Linked DNA regions of Arabidopsis thaliana. The protein of the gene in region 1 interacts with the protein of each later gene in a pairwise test. Each region holds a gene or a part of one and is shown in the gene's direction. Other genes may lie near its edges.

Evidence for each region.
Region 2: the proteins of SPX4 (region 1) and AT1G68670 interact in a two-hybrid assay, tested with the Arabidopsis thaliana proteins (one large-scale study listed by BioGRID).
Region 3: the proteins of SPX4 (region 1) and UNE12 interact in a two-hybrid assay, tested with the Arabidopsis thaliana proteins (one large-scale study listed by BioGRID).
Region 4: the proteins of SPX4 (region 1) and AT3G22440 interact in a two-hybrid assay, tested with the Arabidopsis thaliana proteins (one large-scale study listed by BioGRID).

The regions. Positions count from the first base shown.
Region 1 is NC_003076.8:4,977,105-4,985,003, forward strand, and holds SPX4 (SPX domain-containing protein 4), read left to right. Parts: upstream 1-3,269; 5' UTR 3,270-3,283; coding exon 3,284-3,826; intron 3,827-4,241; coding exon 4,242-4,398; intron 4,399-4,475; coding exon 4,476-4,939; 3' UTR 4,940-5,127; downstream 5,128-7,899. Other genes in the region: AT5G15320 (ATP synthase E chain), read left to right, coding at 543-590, 696-761, 1,507-1,554; AT5G15340 (Pentatricopeptide repeat (PPR) superfamily protein), read right to left, coding at 5,169-7,040.
Region 2 is NC_003070.9:25,778,388-25,786,591, forward strand, and holds AT1G68670 (myb-like transcription factor family protein), read left to right. Parts: upstream 1-3,413; 5' UTR 3,414-3,956; coding exon 3,957-4,089; intron 4,090-4,177; coding exon 4,178-4,446; intron 4,447-4,525; coding exon 4,526-4,841; intron 4,842-5,036; coding exon 5,037-5,113; intron 5,114-5,216; coding exon 5,217-5,486; 3' UTR 5,487-5,731; downstream 5,732-8,204. Other genes in the region: AT1G68660 (Ribosomal protein L12/ ATP-dependent Clp protease adaptor protein ClpS family protein), read right to left, coding at 20-173, 633-696; AT1G68680 (SH3/FCH domain protein), read left to right, coding at 7,240-7,436. UniProt on the Arabidopsis thaliana protein: Probable transcription factor involved in phosphate homeostasis.
Region 3 is NC_003075.7:1,134,818-1,142,306, reverse strand, and holds UNE12 (basic helix-loop-helix (bHLH) DNA-binding superfamily protein), read left to right. Parts: upstream 1-1,766; 5' UTR 1,767-2,000; coding exon 2,001-2,363; intron 2,364-2,767; coding exon 2,768-2,890; intron 2,891-3,054; coding exon 3,055-3,120; intron 3,121-3,206; coding exon 3,207-3,272; intron 3,273-3,946; coding exon 3,947-4,027; intron 4,028-4,105; coding exon 4,106-4,339; 3' UTR 4,340-4,820; downstream 4,821-7,489. Other genes in the region: AT4G02580 (NADH-ubiquinone oxidoreductase 24 kDa subunit), read right to left, coding at 5,401-5,508, 5,698-5,763, 5,880-5,957, 6,070-6,116, 6,208-6,313, 6,403-6,480, 6,615-6,731, 7,362-7,427. UniProt on the Arabidopsis thaliana protein: Required for ovule fertilization.
Region 4 is NC_003074.8:7,956,241-7,964,944, forward strand, and holds AT3G22440 (FRIGIDA-like protein), read left to right. Parts: upstream 1-3,512; 5' UTR 3,513-3,613; coding exon 3,614-4,526; intron 4,527-4,860; coding exon 4,861-5,036; intron 5,037-5,136; coding exon 5,137-5,646; 3' UTR 5,647-6,131; downstream 6,132-8,704. Other genes in the region: AT3G22430 (RNA recognition motif XS domain protein), read left to right, coding at 1-204, 1,010-1,365; AT3G22436 (uncharacterized protein), read right to left, coding at 1,658-1,780; AT3G22450 (Ribosomal L18p/L5e family protein), read left to right, coding at 6,203-7,138; OASA2 (O-acetylserine (thiol) lyase (OAS-TL)), read left to right, coding at 7,964-8,008, 8,097-8,360, 8,437-8,473, 8,534-8,574, 8,654-8,704.

The DNA.
Region 1 (7,899 bases):
GCCTCTCTCTCTCGAATCCGATTTTTCATTTTTTTCATATTAATTGTGAAAATAATATAAGAAACACAAAAGCCGAAAAAAAAGACCAAGCCAATATTTCATAATGAAATAATAAATATGAATCGTAGTGATAAATAGGATACTATATTTATTTGGATATGACCCGTTGCAAGTGGACCCAAATAATATCCCAAAATTTCAGAAACGATATTAATCATTGAGAAAATTAAATTATTATAGCAATAAAATATAGGATAAAATTTGGATTTTCTTAAAAGAGTTTTTAGAGATTAGGCTAAAAAGTAATTAGGTTTAGATCTATGTTAGTCCTTTATGTAATACGAGAATATAAGAGGCCCATTTAAAGCCCAATAATCAGTTTACTCGGGTTAAGGAAAATAAATATTACGAAAAAGGAGCGAACAATTCCACCATCACGAATCGCGATTTTTTTTTGAGATTACGGAAGCTTCGCTTGATTTGGGATTTTTAGGGTTTTCTTTCTCCGAAGACGACTCCGAGAGACCAACAGTGATTTGACAATGACGCTACCTCCAGGTCTTTACTCCGGCACCAGCTCTCTTGCTCTGGTAATTCATCTCTCTAATCGGATTCTCGATCTGTAGCACAGATTCGTTTTTTTTCTTTTGTAAAGAGTTTGTGTGATTCAACGAGTCTATTGCTTCAATGATCAGGTGGCTCGTGCTTCGGCTTTTGGGTTGGGTCTCGTCTATGGGAACATGAAGCTCAAGGTCCTTAAGGTCATATTCTATCTCAATTTTGTCTTGTTTTTATCGAAATTGTTGATTATATTGCTCGTATCTGCTATGAATCTGCAATAATATTGATTAATGAATTGTTTTCATCATCTGGTGATTGTAACATTTGAATTGTTGGTGACATGTTATCTCGAAATTGGTGGCTACACAAATTTTATCATCAGAAAATTTATGATTTTGATCGTAGTTAAGAGTGAGATAGCAAATTTTTGTTTGAATTTACAGTGCTCTCGAGCTATAGATGTGAATTGCAGAATGCTGCTTTACTCCTTCTGTTAGTTTGTTGTTTCTGCTAGTCCACTGATTATGCCTGAGTTTTGATCTTATAATCCCTTTTAGATTATCATATGCTACTTTTCTACAAGTCGTCAGCAATTTTTAAACGACTTTGTTGAAACACCACTTTGTGGTGTCTTTCTCTGGTTTTTGCTTCTGAAGTTACTAGCTTTTAAATGTTTTTGGTTGTTAGTCTCCTCTGTTCTCTTTGAGTAGCTGAGCCAGTGATGTGATGCCTTGAGCAAAATCTCTGGTTCATTCATCATGTTGCAAACTCTAAAAAGGTTTACATTGTTCAATCTTGTTGTTTGCTCATCCTGGTTCCTCCACTGATTATCTCTTTGCAAACCGGAAATGTTTTATAACTTAGATGTCTCTATACCTGAAATGTTCTTGAATATTAGTAGTATATGCTAAGATAAGTACCAACAAATTGCTTTTTCACCTGCAGATCAAATCGATGTCACAGAAGAAGGTTGAAGCCACCGCTCATCATTAAACCACTCTTCTTTCTTTACAATAAGATGCCAAAAGCTGGGGGTGATGTCTCCCCGGTTAGTTTGATTTCTTCTTTCATGATTCATCCTTTAGCATAAGAAGGAACAAATGTGTTTTTGAAAAGCATATTATACGGTTTTAAGACCTTTTTGGAGCCATAATTGCCATTGGCTTAAAACCCGAGTCAAGAACATCTTTCCATTTGTTGTCATCCAATAACACCGTTCACATTCACATACACCTCACCTCTTAACCAGATTATCTATAACACTAAGGACCTCAGTGTCCCGGTTTTGCGTTATATACTTCGTTTTGCAAGAGTCCTTATATTACTCTACTTGGTCCCATTGGACACAATCTAAGAAAGGGAGAAAAAAATTGGTCCTAAAAAGCATGTTCCAACTTCTTGTGTATCTGAGTTAATCAAAGAAAAATTGCTATTGTCGTTTCTGGTTTGTTGTCTGATTCAATCCAAGCAATCATGTAGTTTGAATTTGATTTCGGGATCTCTCTTACACTTTCCACCACGGCTTAAAAGTTCAAACAACTACCAATGTGTAAATTACCATTACTTCAGTGGCGACATATTCATTTGTCGACCTACGTTTTTGAATTATGTGGGTCTATGGATAATATGAAAAAAACTGAGCTTATTGTAGCCCAATGGGCAATATAAAAGTCAGCCCAAACGTAACACGCGTGGTTGTCGTCGAACTGCGAAATTCAAGTTTCTTACCATTCGCACAATGAGCGCGTCGATTTCGGCTTCAGTTTTGGACTTTTTGTGTTGAAGACTTTGAGCACTTAAAGGCTGACATTATTCAGGCTCTTGATAGTACCATATGAAGAAGTTGTCAACGTCCCGTTTGAGCTAAAGCAGTAGTTAAAGTCGTTCCTCACCTTTTCATTCCCTTCTTTTTTCTTCTTCCTACTATTAAAAACGAAACTACAGATGCCTAAATGTTGGAGGCATGAATAAATATGTTTAAATATATAAAAACAAACCCTGGTCACACACTTTAGCCAATAAGAATTTAGAGTCGTGACTATAACATCAACATTTAATTGTATAGTTTTTAGTGATAAGTACTGTTTAAAGTGATATAGTCTATGAATATAAGTGGATTTAATTCTGGATCCGCTTATAGTTATACGTAAAATATAAGGGAATCTCATTATATGGGAAGACGAATCTAATCTATTGGAATATAACGAATATTATTCAATAGTTTTTTTGGTTCTTTCTATTTTATTATAGGTGCATGCCCGTTCAAGCTCGTCAGAGGCTCATCTCAGGTTGACGATCTGGTTAAGAGCCACTTTAGATAAAGCTATTATAATTCTGTGATGTTATTTCATGGAACTTCATGGACATATTGTATATGCATATAATCACAACTTGCTGATTTTTTTAAAATTAACATAATCAAATGCCGAAGAAAAACGAACAGAATCACTTTGTTTAGATGAATTTTAATGATAATTGATTCGCTTGTGCCAATTTATGTCGTCCAGCTAACTTTTAATCTAACCTTTTTCTATTGGAGCATCTTAATATTTTATTATTGAAACAAAACATTATTCCACATAATTACATCCGCAAATTATTCACTACATTTACATAATTACTTCAAGTAACAATTTTACCACATTATTTCAATTAGTACTTAACCACCAATGCATATTTGTTCCGAATTTCTTGATCGATAAATATCCAAATTAACAAGTTAATGAAGAAAAAAAACGAAGAAGATCAATGGTCAATATTTAATCAGAAGCATCCACGTCCACTTCATCAGATTCTATCTCTCTCTCTCTGTAAGATTCCTTGCTCTCGCGCTTTTCTCTCTCTCTCTCGCGTTCGTTCTTATCCACGAGCTCTGCACCGTCGCAATCTCCGTCTTCTCCATTTAGATCCAACACAGAGCCTTTTCTACATGAAATTCGGCAAAGAGTTTCGTACTCACCTCGAAGAAACTTTACCAGAGTGGAGAGACAAGTTCCTTTGCTATAAACCTTTAAAAAAGCTTCTCAAATATTATCCTTATTACTCCGCCGATTTTGGACCCGCCAATTCCGATCACAACGATTCGCGTCCAGTATTTGCTGATACTACTAACATCTCTTCCGCCGCCGACGACGGCGGTGTGGTTCCCGGCGTCAGGCCATCGGAAGATCTCCAGGGTTCGTTTGTGAGGATACTTAACGATGAACTTGAGAAGTTTAACGATTTTTACGTTGATAAGGAAGAAGATTTCGTTATCAGATTACAGGTTTTTGCTTCCGAATTTATTCTAGCTTCAGGATTTTAGGTCAAGTTAGAACTTGGTTCATGTGATTACTGATTCAGAAGCTAAACAAGTTTCTAGAATTGAATCATTCCATAGGTTATCTTCGATTGGATGATTAATCTCGAATCCTAGAACAAAATTGCTAGTAGTTGAAACCGGAGGTAGTTCTAGTGATGATCTCTAATCAAATTGGATCTAGTTTCTCTGTGCTTCAAGTGAGTTTGTCTGTATTGATGTAATGATACAGTGGTTTATTTGCTCTGTGGTATATCACAATCGAGATCACATTGCTTAGATATTAGTATGGTTTATGAGCCTTGGTCATCTTCTTGCTCTGCTTGTTTATAGACATATGAAGCTCTAATTGATTAGTGTGTGTTCATCATTTTGCAAACAGGAGCTCAAGGAAAGAATCGAGCAAGTTAAAGAAAAGAATGGGGAATTTGCATCAGAAAGTGAGTTCAGCGAAGAAATGATGGATATTCGGAGAGACCTTGTTACCATTCATGGCGAGATGGTGCTCCTGAAAAACTACAGCTCCCTTAATTTTGCAGGTAATCATATATTTTAACTAGAAAACCAATTTTTGTAACACATTACTACTGTATGCTAAAAACATCTTCCATTCTAGGACTTGTCAAGATTTTGAAGAAGTACGATAAAAGAACAGGTGGACTTTTACGTTTGCCTTTCACACAGCTTGTTCTCCATCAACCCTTCTTTACTACAGAGCCACTTACTAGGTTAGTCCGTGAATGTGAGGCCAATCTTGAGCTTCTTTTTCCTTCAGAAGCGGAAGTTGTAGAGTCTTCTAGCGCAGTGCAAGCACACTCAAGCTCACATCAGCACAACTCCCCAAGAATCTCAGCTGAGACTTCCTCAACTCTCGGCAATGAAAATCTTGATATATATAAGAGTACACTCGCTGCAATGAGAGCTATAAGAGGGTTACAAAAGGCTAGCTCGACGTACAACCCTTTATCATTCTCATCGCTTCTTCAGAACGAGGATGATGAGACGGTAACAGCTGAAAACTCTCCAAACTCTGGGAACAAAGATGATTCAGAGAAGGAAGATACTGGACCTTCCCACTGATCAGAAGAGAATGATGCTCTTTTTGATCAAGATTTTGAGAATTTGCTTCTTGATTTCACCCTAACTTTTCATAAAATTAACACATTTTACTTTACTTCTTCACCTTTTGCAGGACACAACTTCTGTATGCATTTGAATTGTAGTACAGTCGTTTATAGATTTTCAATGAAATTTTCCTCCATTGTCTCAACCTTGTCTCATTTTGCAAATTTGTCATTCTCATATCTGTTCACCAATAATCGGAACAAGAACAAGAACCTCCCTTGAACTGATGAAATCTATTTCTGTCTCTGATGATGATTTCTCGGTCATAGACCTTTGAAACAATCTTCATAGCCGAATGACAATCTCGACATATCCTCAGATTCTTGAAGACAAGAAGAGGTGTACTCGGTTTTGTTTCCAGAAGCCCGAAACAGACAGCCAATTTCTCGCTGTGACAGCACAAAGCTTGCTCTTTTTCCTCCAAGTCACCCTCCGAATGTGAAACCAGGCCAGAGACATCAGGGACGTAGCCAGCTGATCTTATCCGTTCAATCACTTCATTCAACTTCAAGTAGATCTCTTTCGTTCTCGGATGTGATCTATCTCCTGAACTAAACCGATGTACTGAGTCATTAACATAAATGGAACTCAAACCAGGTATTTTTCTGATGCCTCGCTTTCTCAGACTTCCCCTTAACCCATCAGCAATGTCACTCCTTCCTTCTGCAACATACATGTTGGACATAAGTATTTGATACTCTGTGTTGCCTGGACTCATCTGAATAAGCTCTCTTTTAATTCGTTCGGCTATCTCCACCTTTCCATGGACACTGCACGAGCCTAGAAGCGAACCGAGGACAACTTCATTCGGAGGCACTGGCATTTCCCTCATCAAGATCTCTGCTTCTTCAATAAGACCAGCTCGGCCCAAAAGATCTACCATACATGCATAATGGTCAACCTTAGGTTCCAAACCATAGAACCGGAGGCTGTGGAAACATCGCCACCCTTCATCTACTATCCCCGAGTGGCTGCAAGCACTTAAGACAGCAGTGAAGGTTAAGTCATCTGGCTTCACCTCTCTTATCATCTGTGGGAACATGTCAATCACCATTCTACCTTTCCCGTGCATTGCTAACCCGCTGAACAAAGCATTCCATGTCACCACATTCCTCTTACGCATCAATCTGAAGACGTTCATGGAAGAATCTATGTTTCCGCATTTAGCATACATATCAACCAATGCCGTTCCCACCATCACATCATCATAACTTGCTTCCTCCCCCATCATCATTTCCTTCTTCAATGCATACACATGAACCCATCTTCCAACTACCAGATTTCCCGATTGAGCACAAGCCGATAGCATCGAGCAAAGAGTGACAAAGTTCAAACCATGCCCACATCTAAACACCATTTCTGCCAGAAGCTCCAATACTTCCCTTGTAAACCCAGCTCCCAAATACCCAGCAACCATAACCGTCCAAGCAACAGCATTTCTCTCAGGCATTTCGTGAAAAACCTCTCTTCCTCTCTCTAACCCCTCCCATTTCACAACCGTGTCCAAAACCACCGTCCATGAAACAACGCTCTTCTCCTCTAACTCCTCGAAAATACGTTTGACTTCACTCACAAGCCCACATTTCCCATACATATCCATCAAGGCATTACAAACCTTTACACTAGTCAAAACCCCCATCTTTACAGCAACCCCATGTCCTTGTTGAGCGAAACCCAAATCCTCCAGCTTGGCACACACGCCAAACAAACAAACTACAGAAACATCATCAATCTCTACTCTTTTCCTTCTCATTTCCACGAAGAGCTTCATCGAATTAACCAACAATCCATACCGAGAAAAAGAGGATAACAAAGTGGTCCAATCCACATTGTCTTTTTCTGAAAGAGGAATTTCGTCGAACAGTTTCTGGGCAGTAACCATTTCACCAGAGGAAGCATAAAACTGAAATAGCGCATTGCTAAGATACGACCTGGGAGCTTTCTTCAATCCAGAAGTGGTTAAAACGGCGTGCAATTCCTTGCCGGGACGGAGAAACGAACGGTGAGCGCAATGTCGGAGAAGGAGACGAACTTTTTGGTAGGATAAGCATTTCATAAGATTAAGCTCGTCCCTTTAGTCCTATAACTGATAGAATCTTAGAGCTATGGCGTTAGATCTCTGCCTTCGACGGTTCTAACTTCTCGTGAGTTCAATTTTCCCGGGAAACAAACAGAAAATCTGGGCTCTTAAATACACTTCACGCGCCTTGATGAGAAATTTAGAGCGCGTGGGATAATGTTTTTATCTTTTGTCCAGTACAACATAAGTGACATAATAAAAGTTTTGGTTTTGATCTGCAAGGATGCAATGATTCAAATAGAAACTAGATTACTCACAACTACATATTTTTGATTAGAGGACGTTTCTGGTGATGAAACCTGATGTCACTAACTATATCCACATTTGGTAAAGGTCGTTAACATCTAAATTATCACTGACAAAGACAAATAAATACCAAAACAATAAAAGTAAAATAGGTTTGTCCAGAGTCTTCATTTCATCAATCTACAATTCTCCACGTCCCCACCGATCAATCAACATCATCATTTTAGATTCGTTTAGGGGTCCATATTAAATTTACGCGTATTCTTAAAAACCCTCCCAAGCAAAATTCAAACATAAATACATACACGTATCTAAGTATTTTTCAAACATAATTTAATCCAATTTGGTAAGAAGATTTGACAGCTTTATGAAAAGGACATGTGGTGGTTGCTACAATACGAACAATCACAGATAAAATCACATGGAACAGATATGCCAAAATACGTCAAAGAGAAATTAATCCACAGATAATCCGAATACAATGACTCTCCTATGTTCAACAACTGATCCACAGCTCATTCACTTCCAACAAAGCAAGAATTTTGAGATTTTTTTGCATCTTAAGAAAATTTCAGTAATTTAATTTCTC
Region 2 (8,204 bases), on another chromosome or scaffold:
TTGTTGTAGGCAATAATACCTTAAATCAAACTCGGATTCACGACCAGGAGTGGTTTTCTCTATAATTGGTTTGTCTAAGACACCACCTCCTTTACCCAATGCAGCAGATGTAGACAAGGTCATGAGAATGCTACGATTCACACATGGTCCTTTTGAGACTAAATGTTTGTCCCCTGCACACACCAAGTTAGAGAGAAGAGCAAACCAAATCACAACTAGACAAGCCACAAAGATAATCTTTTTAGAAAGAGCTAAACATCACCATGCCTTTCATAAAACTTATCTTTATCAAACTTCACTAAAATTATCTGTATGTAAGAAATAGGTATCAAACATCAAAAACCCTATAGTTCTGTTCTGTTTTTGTTTATTCAATTCACTTTGCTTCAGACAGAAGAGTTTCAGTTTCAGACAAGGTAAAAAGCTAAAAAGCCTATTTCTTTCTGCACCTAATCATCTCACAAATCAATATCAACAAAGAAAATATGTATGTAAATCAACTGTCATGAGCTGATTATATACAGAAAGCTCCGGAATTTGATTACTAATTCAAGTTTCGAACTTTTTGATTCAAAGACACCGAACAGAACAAAGAGATGTTTGATACGGAATCAGAGAGAGAATAAGAAAACCTGATTTAGAATTGAAGAGAGAGGATGGTGCGAGAGCTAATCTCCCACAAATCGCAGTCTCCATTGTCGAGTGGATGCTTCTCAGTTCCCAAAAACACAGAGATAATCAGGACCGAACAATTTTAATCATAAGAATAAGGTTGAAAAATTCAGAAATTGGTGGTTTACGGAATTTTACGTTGCCTCCGATTCAAAACGCTACGTTTTAGCCTTAAAGGCTTAAACCTTTTTGTCTGATTGTCCCGGTTTACCGAACCAAAATTCGAACCTATAAATAAATAATCTATTTCTGGTTTAGTTGCTCTGGCCTCTGGGACCGATACGTTGAAGGTGGACCTACCGTTTTAGGGTTGTTTAACACTTGAACCGTCCGTAAGTCTTGTTAAGCTATAATTTGTTAGTCTTGGTTAGAACCGGTTCAATGTGTGTATGTATGATCTACGGTTTATACTTTTTTTTTTATTTTTAGTTGGTTTTGTCATTTCTATATATAAAAATGTAAATGTTCTTTACTTCTTTCTATTGTAATTTGTAAATGTTCGTTGTCTCGGTATCCTGCACAATCTAGCTTCAGTGACGATGTTTTAGAGAGGCTAAGGTTAGGTTGGTAACTGGAATAGAAACCGGAGCCTATTTTCTTAAACCATTTTCAACGGAAGTTTCTTAAATCCAGCCACTTTGTGAAATAAATCTTGGAGTTGAGATTTATTTACATTTGCTGCCACTGATATTTAATAATTGTTTTTGATAATTAGAAAGAAAATCTTCTAATTAAATATTTGACATTTAATAATCTTCCCAAAATCTTTCTACCTTAACTACACAATTAATTACTAAAATAAAACTTCCAAAATATTTAATATCATTTAATTACTACAAAATTATCATTTTTGATATTTTTGCTTTTCGGCATGACTATAACAATTCAATTATAATCATCAAACCGCAGAGATATTTGATAGCATTTAATTACCACAAAATTACAAAATATTTAGACAATAATTCATAAACATATCATAAATAAGATCAACATTAATAAAATAAATAGTTTTTTTACGGGACGGGTTGACGGGACGGGTTTGGCAGGATGTTATTTAATAACAATTGTAAACTATAAAATAAAAATATTTTATAGATAGATACAATTTGCAAACTTTTATGTATACTAACTTTAAAAAATAAATTATTTCTGCGGTGTACCGCGGGTTAAAATCTAGTGAGTTTTTAAAATAGAATCAAGTGTAAATATAGATAAATAATATATTTTAATGATGAGGTTCTTACATTTGAAGAAACTTAGTTCAATTGACTCTTAGTTAAGAAACAATTGGACTAAGTTTCTTCAAATTTAAGAAACCAAACTAATATTTAAACAATATAATATTTTTATTATATATCAAGAATTTTGTTTAGAAACTCCCATTGAAAAAACTCTTAACTTCCATGTTCTTGGTAGTTTCCCTTGGACTCAGAGTCATATGTTTTATTTTTGTGCATTGCCAATTGACAATTATTGCATTAACTGATTAACCGTCTCTTTTTAGCTCTAATTGACACTCTTAACTTTGTTGTTTAATTGTGGCTATGCAATAGCTATTATGAAGAGAACTCCAATACATGTGTTGGAGTCTTGGAGATCTTACTTGCATCTTCAAACATTCATAATACTACAACTTAGACATTGTTTGTTTTCTTTTCCCATGGAAACAAATTTTATCATGTGCTAATAATAAAGGTAAGAATTGATGGAGCCAATCTCGTTTAAATCTATATGTCCCACACCTCCCACATAAAGACCAAACATGTATTAGCTCCATCAGATTGAGACAACAAAGTTCTATGTGTAGATTTAGATGTTTTTTCTTAAAACAGATTTGATTAAGAACATGTGGAATGAATCTGATATTTGCCTATTATGATGATGATTAAAGCAATAAGCATGTTGTAACTTTCCATCTACAAGAAAACAGTTGATCATTTCAATCGACCTTCAAATAGTTTCATCAATCATACATAAGTAGACCCATAAAATAAAATTTTGATGATCCTAATGGTGATTATTGTGAATGAAATTAGTCCAAAATCTTGCTGTATCTAAAAAACACAAAAATACTATTATCATATTCATATGCATTAACTCATCCTATCAAGGAATCGAACCACCAAAGAACCGTTTGTTTTTCTTAAAAAGATAACGACGAAACCAATAAGATAAATGAATATGACAAAAGCAGAGAATCTGGTTGCATCAATTGAATATTTGGTCACGTGGGTACGCGCTCTATGCGCGTGAACATTTAGCAAATTGGCTCTTGAGGAATATGAAAGGTCGGATATGTAAATAATTAATACGCGGCGTGGGCAAATGTGATTCTCACACTTCCTTCCAAAAGATTCTTCTTTCTATTTTTTTTTTTTTTTTTCCTCCCCTAGAATATTCCTTCACCAAATTAGCTCATTTCCAATTCAAATTTTAATATTCGTTCTAAATATCTGTAAAAACGTAGTCGAGTGGTAGGTTACATAAATTGTGAATGATTAACGTTTGGAGTTGGAATTAAGATATCACTAATGATATGATTTATTGTCATTGAAAGTTTTAAACATAATTTTTCCTTATGAGATAGTAGTAGTATTTTAATTTATTTAATGAAACGCATATTTGTTAGGTGAACGTCAATTTTTATGATTTTTGGAAAAGACGCATAATAAAAACCAAATCTTTAAATTTGAAATTCTAAATCATAAAATCTCCATTTAATGAATAGATTTGCCCATATAGAAACACAGAAAATCATTTCTATTAGATGATAGTTAAGTTAAATGAAGGATAAAACAATCGTTGGAAAACAAAACTCTGGAATCTTAATTAGGGGAGAAGAAAAATGGTTGAGTTTTCGTTCTTATCTGAAAAAAAAAAGCTAAAGAGATTGGAATAGTGACGTCAGTTCCAGCCCATACAAAGAGATGCGAACCTATAATCGAATCTGATCCTCCGAATATTCACCCATCATCTTCACGATATTACTATTTTACCCTTCTCTTCCAAAAGAGAAAAAAACATTTTAACTCTCAAAGATTCGTTTTAGGTACGCGACGGCCCGACCTCGATTCTCTTCCACTTCTTTCTTGTTCCAAAAACCTAAACCCTCTCTCTCTCTCTCTCTCTCTCTATCTCTTGAAAAATCAACAAAACATTGGAATCAATTTCTCTATGTTTTGATTCTATTTTAAAGATCCAATATTCTTTCTCCATTGAGATTAAGCTTCTTTCTCGCTGTCGTCTCTCTATAGATCTTGGTTCTTAGTCCCTTTTGAATAATAATGATGGTGGAGATGGATTACGCTAAGAAAATGCAGAAATGTCATGAATACGTTGAAGCACTTGAAGAAGAACAGAAGAAAATCCAAGTCTTTCAACGCGAGCTTCCTTTATGTTTAGAGCTTGTCACTCAAGGTAATAATAATCCAATCAAAATCTCCAATTTTTAAACAAGTCTCTTACAAATCTTGATGGGGTTTTGTTATGTTTTGTTTCTGTATAGCGATCGAAGCTTGTCGGAAGGAGTTATCTGGTACGACGACAACTACATCAGAACAGTGTTCAGAACAGACCACAAGTGTTTGTGGTGGTCCTGTCTTTGAAGAGTTTATTCCTATCAAGAAAATTAGTTCCTTGTGTGAAGAAGTACAAGAAGAAGAAGAAGAAGATGGTGAACATGAATCTTCTCCAGAACTTGTGAATAATAAGAAATCAGATTGGCTTAGATCTGTTCAGCTATGGAATCATTCACCGGATCTAAATCCAAAAGAGGTATTTAAAGTTTTGAGCTTTTTAAAGGAGTTTTAGTTTTCGATTATGAGGAAATAATCATGTGTTAATTGAATTATAGGAGCGTGTAGCTAAGAAAGCGAAAGTGGTGGAGGTGAAACCAAAAAGCGGTGCGTTTCAGCCGTTTCAAAAGCGCGTTTTGGAGACTGATTTGCAACCGGCGGTGAAAGTAGCTAGTTCGATGCCAGCGACGACGACGAGTTCTACGACGGAAACTTGTGGTGGTAAAAGTGATTTGATTAAAGCTGGAGATGAGGAAAGACGGATAGAGCAGCAGCAATCGCAGTCGCATACGCATAGAAAACAAAGGCGGTGCTGGTCGCCGGAATTACACCGTCGATTCCTAAACGCGCTTCAGCAGCTTGGAGGATCTCATGGTAATTACGATTAATTTTAATTACCTGATTATCTTCTATCTGATTGGTTCATTAGTGATTCATAATCGGGTTGATAAAGAACTGTTTTTAAACATTAAAACGTCTCAACATTTACATTATATTAGTAAGTAACAAAGATTATTATCAACATTAAAAAATGATTTTTATTTGACATTTTATTTGCCAATCTTGCAGTTGCTACACCAAAGCAAATCAGGGATCACATGAAGGTTGATGGATTAACAAACGACGAAGTTAAAAGCCATTTACAGGTTAGTGATTAATGATTCTTATGTTATAATCACAAGTTCGTGAAATTGGTAATTAAATGAAATGTTACTCAAGTTCTTAACCATTTTTTGTGTAATATTTCAGAAATATAGACTTCACACAAGAAGGCCAGCAGCAACATCCGTGGCGGCACAAAGTACCGGGAATCAGCAACAACCACAATTTGTGGTGGTTGGAGGCATATGGGTACCATCGTCACAAGATTTTCCACCACCGTCCGATGTAGCCAACAAGGGTGGTGTATATGCTCCGGTTGCGGTGGCGCAATCTCCAAAACGTTCGTTGGAGAGAAGTTGCAACTCGCCGGCGGCATCTTCCTCTACAAATACAAATACTTCTACTCCTGTGTCATAATCTGATAGTCATACTATAATCATCTCCTGATGTTGATTTTGGTGTAGGTTTGAAAATGTTTATGTGAATGTAAGAAATATTTTCGTCCGTTTTTGTTTGTAACCAAGAAATGTTATTTCCTCGGTTGGAAATTTTGAATAAAGTAGACGAATGCTACTATGTAGTATATACACGAGATAAGTGAAGACTCTTTGTTTTTCTAACTTTGGATATTTACTAAAATATCTTCTTGTTTTTGGTGTCTAATTTAGACAGATCTTCGTGATGAATCTGATGGCAAAGGTTATAATTCATCACCTTCGTAAATAGTAAAATACAAAGGTAGATAAGAGAATCTAAGATGAATTGAGAATAACGTGCGTGAATGGTGATGTAGATATTTGGTGTGACAATTAGAAGTGATTTATTTATGGTAACGCTTGCTTAAAACAAAGGTCCATGAATCGACCAACTAACCATTCACAGAATTGAATACCAAATCTATCTTTTTGCATGGCAATTTATTAAAATAAATCTAACGTGGCCGCCTCTGAATCTTGCTTAATAGAATAGTAACCACTAACCATAATCAAATCATTAATTTAGATTTTTTATTTTTTGTCGGCCAATTTAGATTATAGTATCTTTTTTTTTTTCCTTCACATATCTTACGGTAATTGACTCGAACCGGAATTTCTTTAGAAAATTCAAAACCAGTTTAATAATCGGGTTCATGGAGAATAAAAAGGTCATGTTCTGATTTTTATAATAAGTCCTTGTTGACTAAGTCCTTGTTGAATAAGTCTTCCTAGATTATAGGAAAGTGGACGATTAAATTTGTATTATGTTTTGATTTTATATGTTATAGAATTTCAGGTCGATAAAAATTGTGACATTTGCATTGTGTCTAGGGTCTTTCGGGTTTTTTTTTTTTTTTTTTTTAACTTGATTTGTAGGGAGGATAATCTTGGGTCTATACAAGCAAGACGAATTCTTACGTAATTTTGTTTCTTTGTTTTGAATAAAACTGGATAAATCGTGACTAGGGGCTGGAGATCAATAAATCGTGACTTCCCTCCAACTGATACGGATTCTACAACTATTTGAATTTTATAAGGAATTTCAATAACTTGTTCACTTTTTAAATATACAATAGTTTTGTACAACTAGTAAAAAATATTCATATTTCCATTATAATCATTTATCATTCCATTCTGCTTTTTTTTTTGGGTTCTCAATTCTGCCATTCCACCATGTTTCTTATCGGAATCTAAATAATTAATGCATTAAGTAGTTGAAGATGATAAATTTATTTGTTTCCAACCATTTTGATGGTTAACTTAAAAAACATAAAATTTTAGGTTTGGTGGAAAAAAGAAAGGGACACTTGGCCTTACGACAAAGCGAAGGGTCACATGTTAATACAACAATTTCAGGATATTCGAATCTCTAATATTGGAATCCCTAATACATGGCTCACTCTCTTTGATTCAAACATAAACTGCACTCGTTTATTTAATCTTTGTTTGACAGCTAAAAAGATTTTTATTTTCGGGTTGATAAACCTATAACTCCTCCAACGGACAAAATTTACTAGATAGATCTATAACTTTTCGTGGGCTATATATAACTTCTCGTGGGCTTCGAGGCCCAAAAATGTTTAAAAGTGTTGAAAACCAAGACAAAAAAAAATGGAGTGAAAAAGATGAAATCCCTAAATTGAATCGCAAATCGCAATTTGAAAAAAAAAAGATCTCTCTCTGAAGAATCCGTCATGGCGTCGTCAAGCGATCCTTCAAAACCAGTAATGGAGAGGAAGAAGAAAGGAGCTCCGATCAAATTCTTAGTACCTCTCATCTACGCACCTGCGCTTCCTTTGATTCGGTTGTCTTTAAGGCATAAGCCAGTTCTAAGAGATCGTCTCTTCGGTCTTGTCCTCGTCGGTGCTTTTGCTCATGGCTTCTATCTTGTGTATCCTCTTTATGATTGCTTTGGTGCTTTCTTATGTGATTTAGTGAAACTTGCATTTATGTATTGTATATGGAATATGCATGTTTGGGTTTTAGGGGAATTATTTTGATTTGCAGTGAAGATTTGTGTTTTGATATTGTAGATTGTTAGTATGTACAGAGAGCTAGGAAGTATTTGCTGTTGAAATTGCGCATAGAGTTAAAGGTATGTGTAAGGAAGTGAATCCTGACTAGTTTCGTCAGTCATGTTGAGGATTTGTTAGGCATAGTTAAGCATATGGACTTAAGGCAGTTAATCTTGACTTGTATCATCTAATCACTGGAAGTCATATATGGTTATGTGGTTTGACAATTTACATTTCTAGAATTGAGACTATAAACCATCTATGTATACCAAACTGAGGAGTTGAAGAAAGTTTGCTTGTAGTTGTTGATTCAGGTAGTTTAGATTTCTATAAAAGTCATGTGCGGTGTAGAGATTTACTCATGATGGTTTTGCAGTAAATTGTAATAGTTTGGTAGCTTAGAGAACCTCAAGATTACTGTTGGTAGTGAGAGCAAATATTCAACATTTCAGCGATTGTTGTTAAGAATAGTTTGAGCTGATGATGTTTCCTAATGTTGTTAAGCTTCGATTTGACATAAGTAGAGTCTACTACTATGTGGATTTGGAGAGTAGGAACATTCATTTGCTACTCTGTGGAATATTTTGATAATCTCTATGGAATGTGTTATTTTGTTTTGATTGTTCCTTATAGATAAATCACAG
Region 3 (7,489 bases), on another chromosome or scaffold:
GACTTTTGTAAATTTTTGAAATCCCTTTAAAATCTATTGTAAATTACCCTTTTAAAATCCCTTGTAAATCTTATAAAACCCCTATAAAATCCCTTGTAAATCTTTTAAAACTCTTTTAAAATCCCTTGTAAATCTATTTCCCGCCAAAAAAAAAAAATTGGCGGGAAAAATATGTTTGAAAACAAATTTTGGCGGGAAATTTATTTTGGAATATTTTTGGCGAAAAAATATTAATTTTTCATTTTGTTAACCTAAAACAATTTCCAAATAAGGGTAAAATGGTCATTAAAAATTTAAAGAGGGTAGAAATAAAATTGGATAAAACAAAAGGGTAAAGTTGAAAAAGGGCATCATGAAAAGGGCATTAGAAAAAAAAATTCTTAAAGGGATAATAATTAATATATTAAACTATTAAGTTGATTAACTGATTTTTTTTGTGTTAATATATTATCAAAACAAAACTTGTTTTTTTTTTTTTTTTTTTTTCATCCAAAACAAAACTTGTTTTATTTATTGATTTTTGTAAATAACTGTTTTTCTTAGCTTTTATTACTTCTTATGTTGGATGTTCGTGTTTGGTCTGAGAATTACCTCCTTAAGCACAAGTTGTTCCTTTATAAATGAGCTCCATTTAGGCATAATGATGTGAACCCTTTAGTTTTTGTTGGTGTAGACTCAAATTAGAGAGAGGAGTCGCTGAGATTGATAAGCTAGCAAACAGAATCTTCCATATCGACAAGCTTGGGAATCAACCTGAATTGTGATAGAAGAGAGAAAACATTTTCTAGGAAACTAAATTGTCTCTTTTGAATTTGAAATACTTTATTTGGAGCTTGTTTGCTTAGCGCATATCTCGAATTTGATTATATCTCGCAAGATAATTATGTGACGTTTTTGAATTATGTAAACATCTCAATAAGTGATATAGGAAAATTTAACTTACAAACAGAAAAATAAGCGATTTTTTCAATACATTCTAATAGTTGAATACATTAATTAGAATTAGGAGGGATACAATAATAGATAACTACAATTCATTCGTCATGTTCTAAAAATAGAGAGCAATAAGTACGACGGACAGTACCGTCACTACTTGGCGTCATGGTAGATAGGTAGTGGATCTGCTAGATATATGAGAACGGAAAGAACCAGAAGCTATTAGAGGCGGGAGGAGATATGTGGGGATGATTTCAGTGCAATTCCACGACGCACCATTTCCACTTTCGTAACACCTAAACGACCGCTTCGGCCGTATAAAATCGCAAATGTTTGGTCTCAGTGTATTTTTCCAATTTCCAAATACATCAATTCAAATTATATAATATCTAGTGGCAATTATAAGTATATCATATATTTTCAAAATTAATTAAAAAGATTACTAAATTATGTTTGACTACAACTATTATAATAGTTAAAAACATAAACAAAAACAAAGAAACTATTTTAATAAAAAAATCAAGTAAACATTAAAACATAAGCAAAAAATAATGTTAAAGAAATTATTAATTATTAATTTACTAATAATTAATACCTCTATAAATTAATTGTTAGAGGTTTAACGTAATTTATAAGGAAAACTAAAGAAGACTTTAACCCATAAAGAAAAAAACAAAGACTGAATTGAAGGCCCATATTTAGAAGAAGAGAAAGAAGACCCAAATATGATATAAAATCCAGCCCATTTATATATTTTTATTTTGTTTCTGGAAGGAAAATAAGAAAATGGCAAAAACGAAATAATCTGAAAAAGTAAGGTCTTTTACCAAAAAGGATATTTTTTTTATAAACAGAGCATAAAGTTTTCACTTTTCTTCTGCTCCTTTCTCGTCTCTGTCTTCTTCGTCCTCATTCGTTTTAAAGCATCAAAATTTCATCAACCCAAAATAGATTAAAAAAATCTGTAGCTTTCGCATGTAAATCTCTCTTTGAAGGTTCCTAACTCGTTAATCGTAACTCACAGTGACTCGTTCGAGTCAAAGTCTCTGTCTTTAGCTCAAACCATGGCTAGTAACAACCCTCACGACAACCTTTCTGACCAAACTCCTTCTGATGATTTCTTCGAGCAAATCCTCGGCCTTCCTAACTTCTCAGCCTCTTCTGCCGCCGGTTTATCTGGAGTTGACGGAGGATTAGGTGGTGGAGCACCGCCTATGATGCTGCAGTTGGGTTCCGGAGAAGAAGGAAGTCACATGGGTGGCTTAGGAGGAAGTGGACCAACTGGGTTTCACAATCAGATGTTTCCTTTGGGGTTAAGTCTTGATCAAGGGAAAGGACCTGGGTTTCTTAGACCTGAAGGAGGACATGGAAGTGGGAAAAGATTCTCAGATGATGTTGTTGATAATCGATGTTCTTCTATGAAACCTGTAAGTTCTGTTCTTGCTTTGGTGTTTGATTATTAGAAATGGGAAGAAATCGAATTTGAGGGTTTTGAAGAGAACATTTTTGGTAACTTTTGTTTTAGTTTTTGATTTGTGGTAAGTAACTTTAACAAAGTTGATGATTTGCGTTATGTGCTTTATTTTGGCTCAGACTTGTTGAATCTAATCGATTTTGGTTTGTTTAGTAAACTAAGGTTAGCTCTTGTTACTCTATGAGCAACTTCTCACTAGTTCATGTAGCTGCGTGGCTTATCTTGCCTTCTAAGTTGGTCAAATGAGTAATCTTAAGGGTCTAACTTAAATTATTCTCTTACAACTAATGGAGTCAAATCCTTGTGCAAATGGTTTATTTTCGTTTGGTCTTATTTCTTCTGTGTGTTGTCTGGAAGGTTTTCCACGGGCAGCCTATGCAACAGCCACCTCCATCGGCCCCACATCAGCCTACTTCAATCCGTCCCAGGGTTCGAGCTAGGCGTGGTCAGGCTACTGATCCACATAGCATCGCTGAGCGGGTATATTTCAGATTCTCTTTTGTATTTCCCTGTGATATACTATGTTGGTGGCGAGTTGGTTGTAGTTGAAAATATGTTTCGGATATAAAAAAATGTTAACATTGTGTAATGATCTCTTGATTTTATGGAGGGATTACCTAAAAGTTTGTTTTACTTTACCACAGCTACGTAGAGAAAGAATAGCAGAACGGATCAGGGCGCTGCAGGAACTTGTACCTACTGTGAACAAGGTCTGTACCTTTCACCCTAACCCTCACCTGTATATAATTTCTCTAGAAAGTTTGACACTTTCTGTTTCTCCCGTCTTCGTGTGCAGACCGATAGAGCTGCTATGATCGATGAGATTGTCGATTATGTAAAGTTTCTCAGGCTCCAAGTCAAGGTATATTCTTCTCTCTTCTGCAGTTTTAAACTCGAACTCTCTTTCTTGTGAATTATCTTATTACTCCCTATGCAATATGTTTAATCTGTTTGTTCATAAGATTAGAGATCTAAAGATCATGTCTTTCAAATTCTCTGGATGGATTTTTGGTGTTAATTCTGGTCCCACCATTACCTACCCTTCAACCAAATTTCAATCTGATTAGATCAGTTATTTAATGTGGGAAAGAATAAACAAGTCCAAAATGCTTTTGTTTTCTTTGGCATTTAGTCTCTTTTCACTTTTTGTTTTGTCATAGGGAGCCTAATCACAGTTTATGATTATAATACCATATTCAACAATAATTACAATCATCATGTTCACATTATAATATAGTAATCTGGTAGATCATCAAATGCTTCTTATATCAAAATGCAGTCGGTTACTTAAAGCTCTCGCAAGCGAAAAAAGGAAGTCTCTTTACTTTATAAGATAATGGAGACACTAAAGAAACAGAATGCAATGATGGATTTCTGATAAGATAATACATCTTTTGTTTTAAAAATAGAAAATGTGTTTCTTGTGAAATCTTCCATGCTCATCTAAAAGTAAAAGCTTTTTTTATATATATAATTTTCATGGGGTGAAGCTTATCACTTTCAATGATATCTGTTTCTCTTTGTCAACTTTGGTAGGTTTTGAGCATGAGCCGACTTGGTGGAGCCGGTGCGGTTGCTCCACTTGTTACTGATATGCCTCTTTCATCATCAGTTGAGGTAAAAACTTTTTAAGAACAAAAAGTAAAAACTTTAGTAATGGGGTTTTGATTCAGATTTTGCTTAAAATGTCAATAGGATGAAACGGGTGAGGGTGGAAGGACTCCGCAACCAGCGTGGGAGAAATGGTCTAACGATGGGACTGAACGTCAAGTGGCTAAACTGATGGAAGAGAACGTTGGAGCCGCGATGCAGCTTCTTCAATCAAAGGCTCTTTGTATGATGCCAATCTCATTGGCAATGGCAATTTACCATTCTCAACCTCCGGATACATCTTCAGTGGTCAAGCCTGAGAACAATCCTCCACAGTAGGATTTCTGCAATAAAGAGTTTGTACAGCTAATCCAACTGTCCAACATGGGTTTTTCTTCTGCTCTAATGACTCTGGTTTCTTCTCTCCTCTCTCACCCACTTGAAAGGTAAAAAAGTGAAAAAGGCTTTGTAGATGGAATCAATGTAGGATTTGCAGTAGAGGGAAAAAAAATGTCAAAAAGCTCAATTGATCAAGTATTATTGTAATCATTGTACCTTTATTTTAGGTGGACTTTGATGAAAGCAACTTTTTGTTTTCAAGACTTTAGTGGGAGGTTGAGGAAGGAGCTTGAAGGGTGTTATTTATTAGTAGTAGTAGTAGTGGGAAGTTGTGGGACCTTGTTGAGTTGTGTTCAAATTGAAGAAAAAACAAGTATTTGTAATTTGTCACCCCTTGTATTATTATTTATTTTGTATGACTTTGGAGTAGTATAATTAATTATCAAATAATATTATTAGTTTGATCTAGTAACCATCCTTTGTTTGATAACACTAGAAACATAAAGCAAATATTTTAGGAGAAAGTACCATGAATTGTGCTTCTTTTTTTTAGTGGTACGTGTACAATTTTAACTTCCAAATCTCAAATGCTAAGATATATACACTTTGGACAGAACATGTATCAATTTAAACTTGCATGTTTACATTTTGCATTGATTAGTGAAGACAAAATACAACTTTTATTAATATTGTTAGTTTTGGAAAAATATAGCCAAAAAAAAAACTCATCGAAGAATTAAAGTTATTGATATGATTATTTCATGTGATTCATTAAATCATTCTGCCAAATTTATTTTTTGAGTAAAGTTTGGAAAATCTTGTGTCTTTTGAAGTAACAGATAAAAGTTTTGTTTTTATTACAATTTCACATGAATCTTAGAGTGAGATAATAATAAACGAAGATGATTTGGCAATTTGTTTAAAATGGGTCTAAATTCCAAAACCAAGAAGACTACAAAGAGTATGCAAACTCAATTTGATGCGGTACAGGCGTCAAACATACATCGCTATAGCCTTTGCGTTATTGAACCACATAAAACTGCGGCAAACAGAACTTAGCTTTAGCATGCATCAAGATCACGGAATTGTGGTGGCTTAGGCTCACCAAGCAGTGTCTTATTCCCTCCTTCTGGTCCACACTTGATCCTCTTCGGGTTCTGAGTTCCATGCTGAAAAACAAAGATTAACATTATAAGAAGTTGGATTTGGATTTTGGATTTGGATTTTGGCTTAGAGGCTACGTTCTCCAATTTGGAAAGTTAACCGAAACCAGATTGTTTTCCCCCACCGATGTAATGCAATAGTAAGAGAAGAACATCAGGAAAGTATCCAAATGCAATGGGTTGTTAATGTCTTACCGGTGGCTTTTCTCCTTTTCTCAGCTTTTCAACAATTTCTACGACTTTCTCAGGTGTAACATCTTCCTGTGTATTGTAGCATAAGACAGTGTAAGTATGATTTCACTCTTCCGACGTAACCCACATAAACAATAGGATAATGCAGGAGAAAAAGAAAAATTGTTCAACGAGATTTGACATACGAAATAGTTATATGTATATCCTTCTGATCCATTGGAATAGTCAGCCACAGTGATCATGGGTGCATTAACACAACATCCCTGTAACAAAACCAAACACATTAGATCTGCATTGAATCTTTTCATGTGAAAGTACTAATCTTGGTTATTGTTCTGCATGGATTAATGAATTGAGGTGACGCAAAATCCATACCATGCACTCCATCTCTCCAACAGAGAACAAACCATCCTTTGTGACCTCTGCACAAAAAACATTAAGACCAAAGATCGTTATGACTGATCATCACCTCCATATGATTTTGGTTATGAAAGGAAGCACATAGAGCTTTACCACCGCGTTTCACTCCCAAATGGTCTAGCAAAGCTGATTCGATGTCTCGTGAACCACGGATCATGCAAGGTGTTGTGCCACAAACTAGAAGGTGATACTTTCCAACCTGTAAGAGCAAAAGAAAAATGAGCCTGCAATGCGTCTTTCATTGAGTACAGTAGAGACTTGAGTTTAGGGGTAGAAAGTACTTCTTACCTTTGCTCTGTTGAACATTGAGTAAAATGTTGCAACCTCATAAACACGGATAGGGGCAACTTCTATAACTTTAGCAACCTGCAAAAGTTTGTTGCATTGTTATGACGGTAAAATCATATCAATGAATGTTGTATTCCAAAAAAGAACTTAAGAAGTACATAAAATTAAGTCTTAACAGAGAAAATCGAACAAAAAAATCTTAGAAGACATACCGCATTCATTGCTGAAACAGGGAGCCAGCCTCCATTCTGCTGTTGTGCAAGATCTAGGAGAGGAATAACTGCGGACTGCTTGTAATTGGATGGATAGTAAGAGAGAATCTCCTTAACCTACACATTTTGGACATAACAATTCAGTAAGTCTGGATGCATGCGGAAATCGATTTCACCGTTAATGCAAGATTACTGTAGCCAGAAATGAAAGATACAGTAAACTGGAACTAAATGCACAAGAAAGTATTAGGATTTAAACTACAATGAAACCGGTTTACTAATTTCTGGACAGTCTTTCTGCCACACTAGCAGATTCAAATCTGTTGGCCATTTGGGTCGTTCACTCTAAGTCTCTCCCTTAAATCAGTTCCAGAATAGCCGATTCTAAATATGTAACAACAAATAAGCAATCAAAAATATCAGAAAATCCCAGTCTTTGTCTTTTAATATCCTTTGGTAGAATGCTAACTAAGAGAACCATAATTCATAATCAGGAGACAGGGACTAGTTATAACTAGGGTCAAACAAAGGGCTAAAGATTAGGGAACGAGGGCTAAAGATTCCAACATTTTCACGAAAGAGTATAAATTAATTCCACCATTACGAACATGTCACACAATTCCCTAGATATTCTGTAAACATCACAAAAACGAATTCGAATCCGTACTGGATAAAAATCCCCAATGCGTTCACTAAAACTGTAAATTTTCGTCATTATCACATTAAGAAGCGATTTTATTCACTGACCTTAGATTGGTTAGCCTCTGAAAACTCCCATGGAAGATCGGGTTTGTTATCAGGAGAATCCAGATGCTATAAGTAATCAAAACAACAACAACAACAAAAATCAAATTACAATTAATTTCGGATAAAAT
Region 4 (8,704 bases), on another chromosome or scaffold:
GTGTATTGATGGGATGGAATTTCTCAAAGGCTCCTGATAATTCAAAGGCATACCAGAATCTACCTGCTGATGAGGCAGCAATCAACCAAGCCCAGCTAATTATTTGGCCACCTCATGTTATTGTTCAGAATACCAGTACAGGGAAGGGAAAAGAAGGGCGCATGGAAGGCTTTGGAAACAAAACAATGGATAACAGAATTAGAGGTATAACATGCGGCCTTTCACTCCTTATTCTTGCGTTTACATACCTGGGCAGAACCATCTGGAACAGTTCATGAATCTTGCATTGGTTAATCCGCACATTAGGATTCTCTTCTCTCTTTTCCTTTTTTCTTCCCTCCATATTAGAGATGTGCTTGGAAAGTACTAAAGCAGGTTATCTTAATCAATTGGATTTAGACCCAGAGCCTTAGAGATGATTCCCGTATACAATGGCCATAATGATGTCGCATGTCTTTGTTATCCCTGACTTTGTGCCACAATAATCATCTCCTTATCTTTTAGAAGAAAGGTCACGGTCCAAATCCCTCTCTTTGTTTTGCTATCACTAGAAGGATGGCCCAACAGGTGTTTTAAAGTAAGACTCTGGAAACTAACATGATTCAATTATCATCTGACATAGCTTCTCAGGAAAAACCTTCACTATACTTAGACCCCTGCCCGTTTCTCTCCCATGTTTCTCTGTGATTTTGTAAATTTAAAATTGCTATGACTTAGCATAGAATAATTTATAACTCTGGTTTGAGCTCTGATTTCAATACCTTACAATATCAGAATCTAGGCAACAGTGGTGGTCTAAGAAGTATATAAGCTTCTTTAACATAACTTTGTTGGGCCACCATCTTCTCTGGTCTTTTCTCTAGGAATCTCAGCTTCTATTTTTAGAACTTGTGGTTAGGCTAATGATGGGTGTGCAAGTACATGTATCTAGTTATTAGCCTATATCGTGTAACAACACTCAATGACACATTTTGTCTGCCTTCATTTTGATTTCTATATATAATTACAGAACTAGGACTCACTGGTGGGAAATCGAAGTCGTTGTATGGAAGAGAGGGTCATTTGGGAATTACCCTGTTCAAGTTTGCTGGAGACGATTCAGGGCTCAGGGATGCTATGAGAATGGCAGAATATTTTGAGAAGATAAACCGTGGGCGTAAGAGTTGGGGGAGGGTACAGCCACTCACTCCAAGCAAAGATGATGAGAAAAACCCTGGTCTTGTCGAGGTTGATGGGAGGACGGGAGAGAAAAAGAGGATCTTTTATGGTTATCTCGCGACTGTAACGGACTTGGACAAAGTCGATGTGGAGACAAAGAAGAAAACCACAATCGAGAGCCTTAGAGAACTCACAAGAACAAAGTAAATTACAGTTTTCTTCTCCCACGAAAGGTACACTTAACTTTCGAGGTATTTGTTGCCTATTGAATCTGGATTCTTAGTCGCAACCTAAAAAACTCGAAAGGAGGAACGAAAGTTTTTTTTTTTTTTTTTTTAATTTATAGATGAAGTCTTGGTCTCTTTGATCCTTCGATTCAGTGTTCATATTGCATAGTCTAATATCGGTTGAACCTGATATATACAAGTTCTCTTTACCAACATCCTTAGAAGTATATTGTGATAGTTGCTTGATGCTTTTGATGTCCCTGTTGATTCTCCTACGTTCGTTTCTTCTTTCCTTGTTCTATCTCATCCTTTCGAATAGTGGTTCCTGCTTGTTCTTTAGGCTTTAGCCAGCCTATGGAAATGAGAATATTGAACCAACCAAACAATGTTGCCATAGTGCCATTGTATTGATGATGTCTATGACATTGAGTTATTGTTTTTGTTTGCACTCTGGTAGTAGCTTTATGTATTTGGTCACCTTAGATTGGTGACAACAATGGTGGTGTTTAGTTTAAGCTAGCTATCTTCTTTGAATAAAAAAAAATAAAAAAAAAATTATAAATTGGTATGAAAACAAAAATAAACATTAGATAAGAGGACTTGTATTTTGTGGGGGCTTTTGGTAACCACTATATAAATTTTGTTTTGTCTTTGTTTATAACTCTTTAATTGACAAGTTAGGTATAAAGTGTTTTGACGATTTTTTCCCCTCTACTTTCTTGTGTTCTGATAAACTTTATTACATGTCTTCATTCAAATCTTTGGTTCGCTCTGGCTTACCAATTTACACGTTTTGTTAAAGGAAGTTTGATCAGCTTCGGTTTAGGCCGTGTGATTAAGAATTTAAGATAAACCTTAACACTTATGAAAGTAATCAAGCACTATCCGGTAGTGAAAGTTAATATAACATATAGGATTATAGTTTGGCCAATATCATAACAACTAGGATATAATTTTATGAATGTACAATATGCAGGACAAAGTACTTTGTATCTTTTGATAGAGTTACATGCACTATAAGAGAATTAAACATATTAGAAAAAAGACTAGATTATGTAAAATGTCATAATCATATTACTATAAGACTAGCTAGACTGAGGTCAAATCAATGCATAAATTTAAATCATTATCTCTTTTGAATTCGATTATCTCCCTCACATTTTTCAAATTTCTCTACTCACTTTTTCTATAAAGCGGAAACAGTAATCGGCGGTTCATATGTAGTCGGCCATTACGGACCCATTTAATTAGATAAATTATTCTTAGCCGTCAGTTTCATATTTCGTCTCATTCTAATTTTGTAATGTTTCTCTAACCTTTTTGTAACTATAAAATCATACTCTAATAGCAAGAGGTCTAAAAGAGTAATGGATATTTCCCCTCAATAATGTGTTATATGTCACTGTCCCGTTTTAACATTTTGTACATATCAACAGAAAAAAGTTTTTATGATATATCCATTCCACTGATGTCAAAAAAGCAATAGCTTTAATAAAACCAAATTCAAAATTTCGTTTTTATTCTATTCTTCTGTTTTGATATCACAAAGATATTAAAAACATAGTACGAAGATTAGTTTTATATGTGTACTAATGAATCTTCTTTGTGGTTGCTTCATTATCACGTTTTAACATTTGTCACGCGTGCCCTGATTTCATTACAGCCTTTTCTACAAAACACATGCATTGTTCTTCTTCTTACATTACTACATTACACTACACAAAGAATTTCATATTAATTATAACAACATTTTTTTTTTTTTGCTATACTATATAGTTTTTTGTTATTCAATTGGTATTTTACCGGCAATGCTTCACTGGTTTCCGACTCAACGCATGTGGTGGTCAGTGGGCTTGGCCCACTTATCTCTTTCACCTTTTTTTTTCTTTATACGAAAAATTAAAGCAAAGCTATAGTAATAGTACTTATTATTATTACCACGTCATCACCCAACTCTCTTATACTACGCATATCACGCTAAGCTACGCGTCGACGGCGCAATATAGAAGAATATGTAATAATCGCGCCTTTAATCAGACTCCACTGAGACGTGTCGCTATTTCGAGTTGTCCACGTCACTGTTTCTTTTGTCTCTTATCTTCTTCTTCGTCTCTTTACTTTTTTCCCATTTCTAGGGTTTCTTCAATTTCACTCTCTCTCTTGAGTTTATTCTTCTCTGCTGTATCAATCAAATCAACGGAGTTTGAGTTTCTTTTCCGATTCCGGCGATGGGGTCAGTCCCCGATCCAGGCGAGTTAACTGAGTTAGCTCAGCCGAGTTTCGAGGAGTTTCAGAAACAGACGTCGTTGATGACTAGCTGTACTCTTCTATGGCAAGAGCTCTCCGATCACTTCACTTCTCTAGAGCAGAATCTGATGAAGAAATCTGAAGCGTTGAAGCAGATGATTGAAACTCTAGATAACCAGACTCAGACCTCGCTCGAGTCTCTGAAGCGTAGAGAGGTAACAATCGACCATAGCGTTGAGATCGTAGCTGGGAAAGTAGGTGAACGAGCTAGAGCTGCTCTTGAATCGTTAGAGAAAGCTAGAGATGGTTGTGGTGATGGTTCTAATGATGATTCCGGTGATGTTGACGATGAAGAAGGTCTTCTTTCTGCTTTGAAATCTCTTTGTCTTAAAATGGATGCGAGAGGTTTTTGGAACTTTGTGACGGCGAGGAAGAAGGAGTTGGAGAATCTCCGGTCAAAGATTCCGGCGGCGTTGGTTGATTGTGTAGATCCGGCGATGTTAGTGCTTGAAGCGATATCTGAGGTTTTTCCGGTGGATACAAGAGGAGATAAAGTTAGCAATGATTATGGATGGGCTTGTGTTGTGATTCTTGAGAGTTTAACACCTGTAATTGTTGATCCAGTGATTGGGAAATCGAGGTTGCTTGTTACTCCGAGTGTTAAGGAGAAAGCTAAGGAGATTGCTGAGACGTGGAAGAAGAGTTTGGAAGAGAGAGGAAGGATAGAGAATGTGAAGACTCCTGATGTTCATACGTTTTTGCAGCATCTTGTTACATTTGGAATTGTTAAAAGTGAAGATCTTGCTTTGTATAGAAAGCTTGTTGTTGGATCTGCGTGGCGTAAACAGATGCCTAAGCTTGCGGTTTCTGTTGGTTTGGGTGATCAAATGCCTGGTAATCCTCTTAAGCTCTTATCTTCTACCTATTAGTTTTTTATCCTGGCATGCTCATTGTAACTTGTGAGATCATATATGGTTTTGAAATTGGCTAGTTTACTAATAGTTTAACCCATCTAGATGTATAGTTTTGGTAGGTTACAAATAGTTTACGAGTTGATTAGTCGAATATTAAGTTTGTGTGGCAAACATTGTATGGCATAGATTGTGGTGAAGTCTGAGACATTAGTGGTACAAGGTGTTATTGACCACAGACTGTGTGAAGTTGAAGCCTTTTTCTCTGTATCTCGTTTTATAATATCTGAACTTACAAGTTGTTGCGCTGTCCACAGACATGATTGAAGAATTAATCAGCAGGGGACAACAGCTTGATGCTGTTCATTTTACTTATGAAGTTGGGCTTGTGGATAAGTTCCCTCCTGTTCCTTTGCTCAAAGCTTATCTAAGGGACGCAAAGAAGTCAGCAGCTTCTATCATGGAGGACTCTAGCAATACTGGCCGAGCTACGGTATCTACTCATTGCATCTACTCATTTCTATCGCAGCTAAATATTTTTATCTGTGCGTCCCTGAAAGTTAATATCTTCCTTGTTATGTTTTCTTCCTAAGCATCTCGTGGCGCGCAAGGAGCAATCAGCACTTAAGGCGGTTTTAAAATGCATAGAAGAGTACAAACTCGAGGAAGAGTTCCCTCCAGAGAACCTCAAGAAACGGTTGGATCAGCTAGAGAAGACCAAAACCGAGAAGAGAAAGCCAGCAGCTGTTCCTGCCAACAAAAGAACCCGAGCCAGCTACAACGGTCCAATGCCACCAGCCAAAGCCGGGCGTATCACAAACGCATACGTCTCTTCCTTCCCGTTCATCAGATCACCCTCTCACTCTCCTCAATACGCTTCACCAGCAGCTTACCCATCCCCACCTACAACAGTCTACAGCAACAGAAGCCCACCTTATCCATACTCTCCGGAGATCATCCCAGGCTCATACCAAGGCTCTCCTATCGGTTACCCAGCGTACAACGGTTATTGTAATGGTCCAGTTCCTGCTCCAGCTCCTCCAGTTTACCACCCACACCATCATCAACACCACCAATTCCACCATCAGCAACATTACTACTGAATTAGAAGACAGTGTGACAACAAAACAAGGAAGAAGATTGGTAATAACCAACAAATCACTGATACTGTGACAACTGCTACTACTCTGGTGTTCTCTCTCTCTGGGTCTATTGTCTTCCTACGTCGTCGTTTTTGTCTGTAATATCTCTTTCTCAGCCTAACTCTCTTAGTAACTTAGCTTATATCCTCTGGTGTGTTTATTATTAATCGCATATAAAACAAAACTCAAGCTTTTGTAATGTCTAATATTCAGTCAACAAACTTATATTTCTGTACTCTGTTAATCGAATGACAAACTTCTCTTCGTCACCAACTATCTCCGATCAAATCTAACATCGGAGGTCGTTGCTTTGAAGACATACCCACCAGTTCTCTGTTGAATTGCATTTCTTCTTCATTGAGCAAAGTGGTGATTCAATTTCGGTACAAGACACAAAGCCAGTGGTGAGAAATTTCTCTTTACCAACCTTGCACACCAGATGTTCGACGATATGTCTCTTTGAAATCTTACCGTTTAGTTTTCACGTGCGTTTTCAGAATTGGTCTCTTTTCCTTCAATGGCTTTGATGGTTTTGAGAAGAAAGTGTCTCCGTTTGCCAGATTTTATCTCCGTTTTTCGACCTGCACCGCGTTGCTTCTCCTCGAGATTTTCCAACAGTGAAAGTGGTAAAGTTACAGTGACTGGTTTGAGTGGTTGTGGTATAGAAACTGTGGATGATGATGTTTGGCATGTTTCATCATCTTTATCCCAAGCTTGGAGACAGTTCCAAGCAGACACTGCAAAAAACTCTCCCGTTACAATACAAGGAGTAAGAGAAACAATACTCGATGATGAAGATCCCGATCACGATGAAATCGATAACATGAGAATTCGCGGTGATCTTTTCTTCAAGCTCGATCGAGGTTCAAAAGAATTCGAGGAATACAACTATGACTTCCACCGCAAGAATCAACACAAGAACGCTAAAAAGGAGCAAAACCAAGAAGAAGAAACAAAGATAAAGAAGGATAACAAGAAGGAAGTTCGTGACGAATACAAGAAGAGAAATGACTCTTTCACAGGTGAGACGGATCATCCTAATGAAGCTGTGAAGAAGAGAGAAAGAACATTTACGTTTAACCAACTCACGGCGCCATTTCACTACCCGTTTTGCTTAGACATATACATCTCGAAAGAGTCTGTACGAGCATGTGTGATTCACAGGGTGACTAGTAAGGTTGTAACTGTGGCTCATTCGATTTCAAAAGACATGAAATTCGATCTTGGTTCGAGAAGAAACGTTGCAGCTTGCGCTGCGGTTGGGGCAGTTCTTGCTCAAAGAAGTTTGGAAGATGACATACATGATGTTATATACACTCCTAGGAAAGGAGATAAAATTGAAGGTAAGCTTCAGGTCGTGCTTCAAGCTCTTATTGACAATGGTGTTAATGTTAAAGTGAAGCTTAAGCAGAGGAAACTTAAGAAGAAGACTAGTCATCTAATGATGGCCTAGAGGACTGAAATTTTCTAGTTTGTAATATGGGCCCAGAAGATATGTTTCTGTGTGGGGCCCAAAAAATGTTATCCGTTTCATTTCTACGTTTCTTGTCGGGTCAAAGTGTTGACTTTCTAACAATGATATCATCGTTTTCTTATACGTAACTTCTCTGCTCTTCCATAGCCGATCGACCTTTGTTCACAATTCCCACCGATTTTTATTTGCTAGATCGATATATTTTCAGGTATGATGATATATATATCATGGTTTGTTTATTCATCTGGAAAGTTTTTGATGCATCATGATCAGGACAAAGTTGGCGTGAAATGAAAAGTTTTAAATAAGTTTTTTTTTTTTGTTGTTGTTGTAAACCTATAATCAGATGATGAGATGATCCTATATTAATCGAATATTTTGATTAATTATACATGATATTTAACAATTGCATTCATCTTTTTTCTTTTGTGAAATCTAAGCAGTGAGCTTGAAACATGGCTTCAGTGGCTCCTAAAATCGCTAAAGATGTAACTGAAGTAAGTAACCTCCAAGATTATGTCTTTCTTCAACTATGTCTTGTCAGTAAATGTTTTTTTTTTAATTGATATTTTTTATTATTTGGGAGCAGCTAATAGGGAACACTCCATTAGTGTATCTAAACAAAGTAGCTAAAGATTGTGTTGGTCATGTTGCTGCTAAGCTTGAGATGATGGAACCATGTTCTAGCGTCAAAGACAGGTGCTTCCGAAAAGTTTAAAAGCTCTGTTTTCTAGTTTCTCTGTTAGTGACAAAAGAAACAAATACTTGTACTTTGTTCTTTTTTGTTGCAGGATTGGTTATAGTATGATTGCTGATGCAGAAGCTAAAGGACTTATTAAACCGGGAGAGGTCTGTTTTTTTTTTTAAATGGAAGCTATTAGTCAGATTCTTCATTTGTTAGTTTTTGAGATTTTTAACTTTTGAGTTTTTTCTTTAGAGTGTGTTGATTGAGCCAACAAGTGGGAACACTGGAGTTGGTTTAGCATTTACTGCAGCTGCAAAGGGCTATAAGCTTGTTATAACAATGCCAGCTTCAATGAGTATAGAGAGAAGAATCATTCTCTTAGCTTTTGGAGCTGAGTTGATTCTTACTGATCCGGCTAAAGGTATGAAAGGTGCTGTTGCAAAGGCGGAGGAGATTTTGGCGAAAACACCTAATGGTTATATGCTTCAACAGTTTGAGAATCCTGCTAATCCAAAGGTAATTACTATTTAGTTTAAGTGCCTTAGTGGATTTGAAGTCAGATACTTATAACATAGTATTGTGTTCATTGCAGATCCATTATGAGACTACTGGACCTGAGATATGGAAAGGTTCTGGTGGAAAAGTGGATGGCTTTGTTTCTGGTATTGGTACTGGTGGTACCTGAACAGGTGCTGGGAAGTATCTCAAGGAACAGAACACAAACATAAAGGTGAATTTCATTTACTTATACAATCAGACTCTTTCTTAGTAAACTCAAAACTTGTCTCATTTGTTTTCTCATCTTATAGCTGTATGGTGTCGAGCCTGTTGAAAGCCCTATTCTGTCCGGTGGAAAGCCA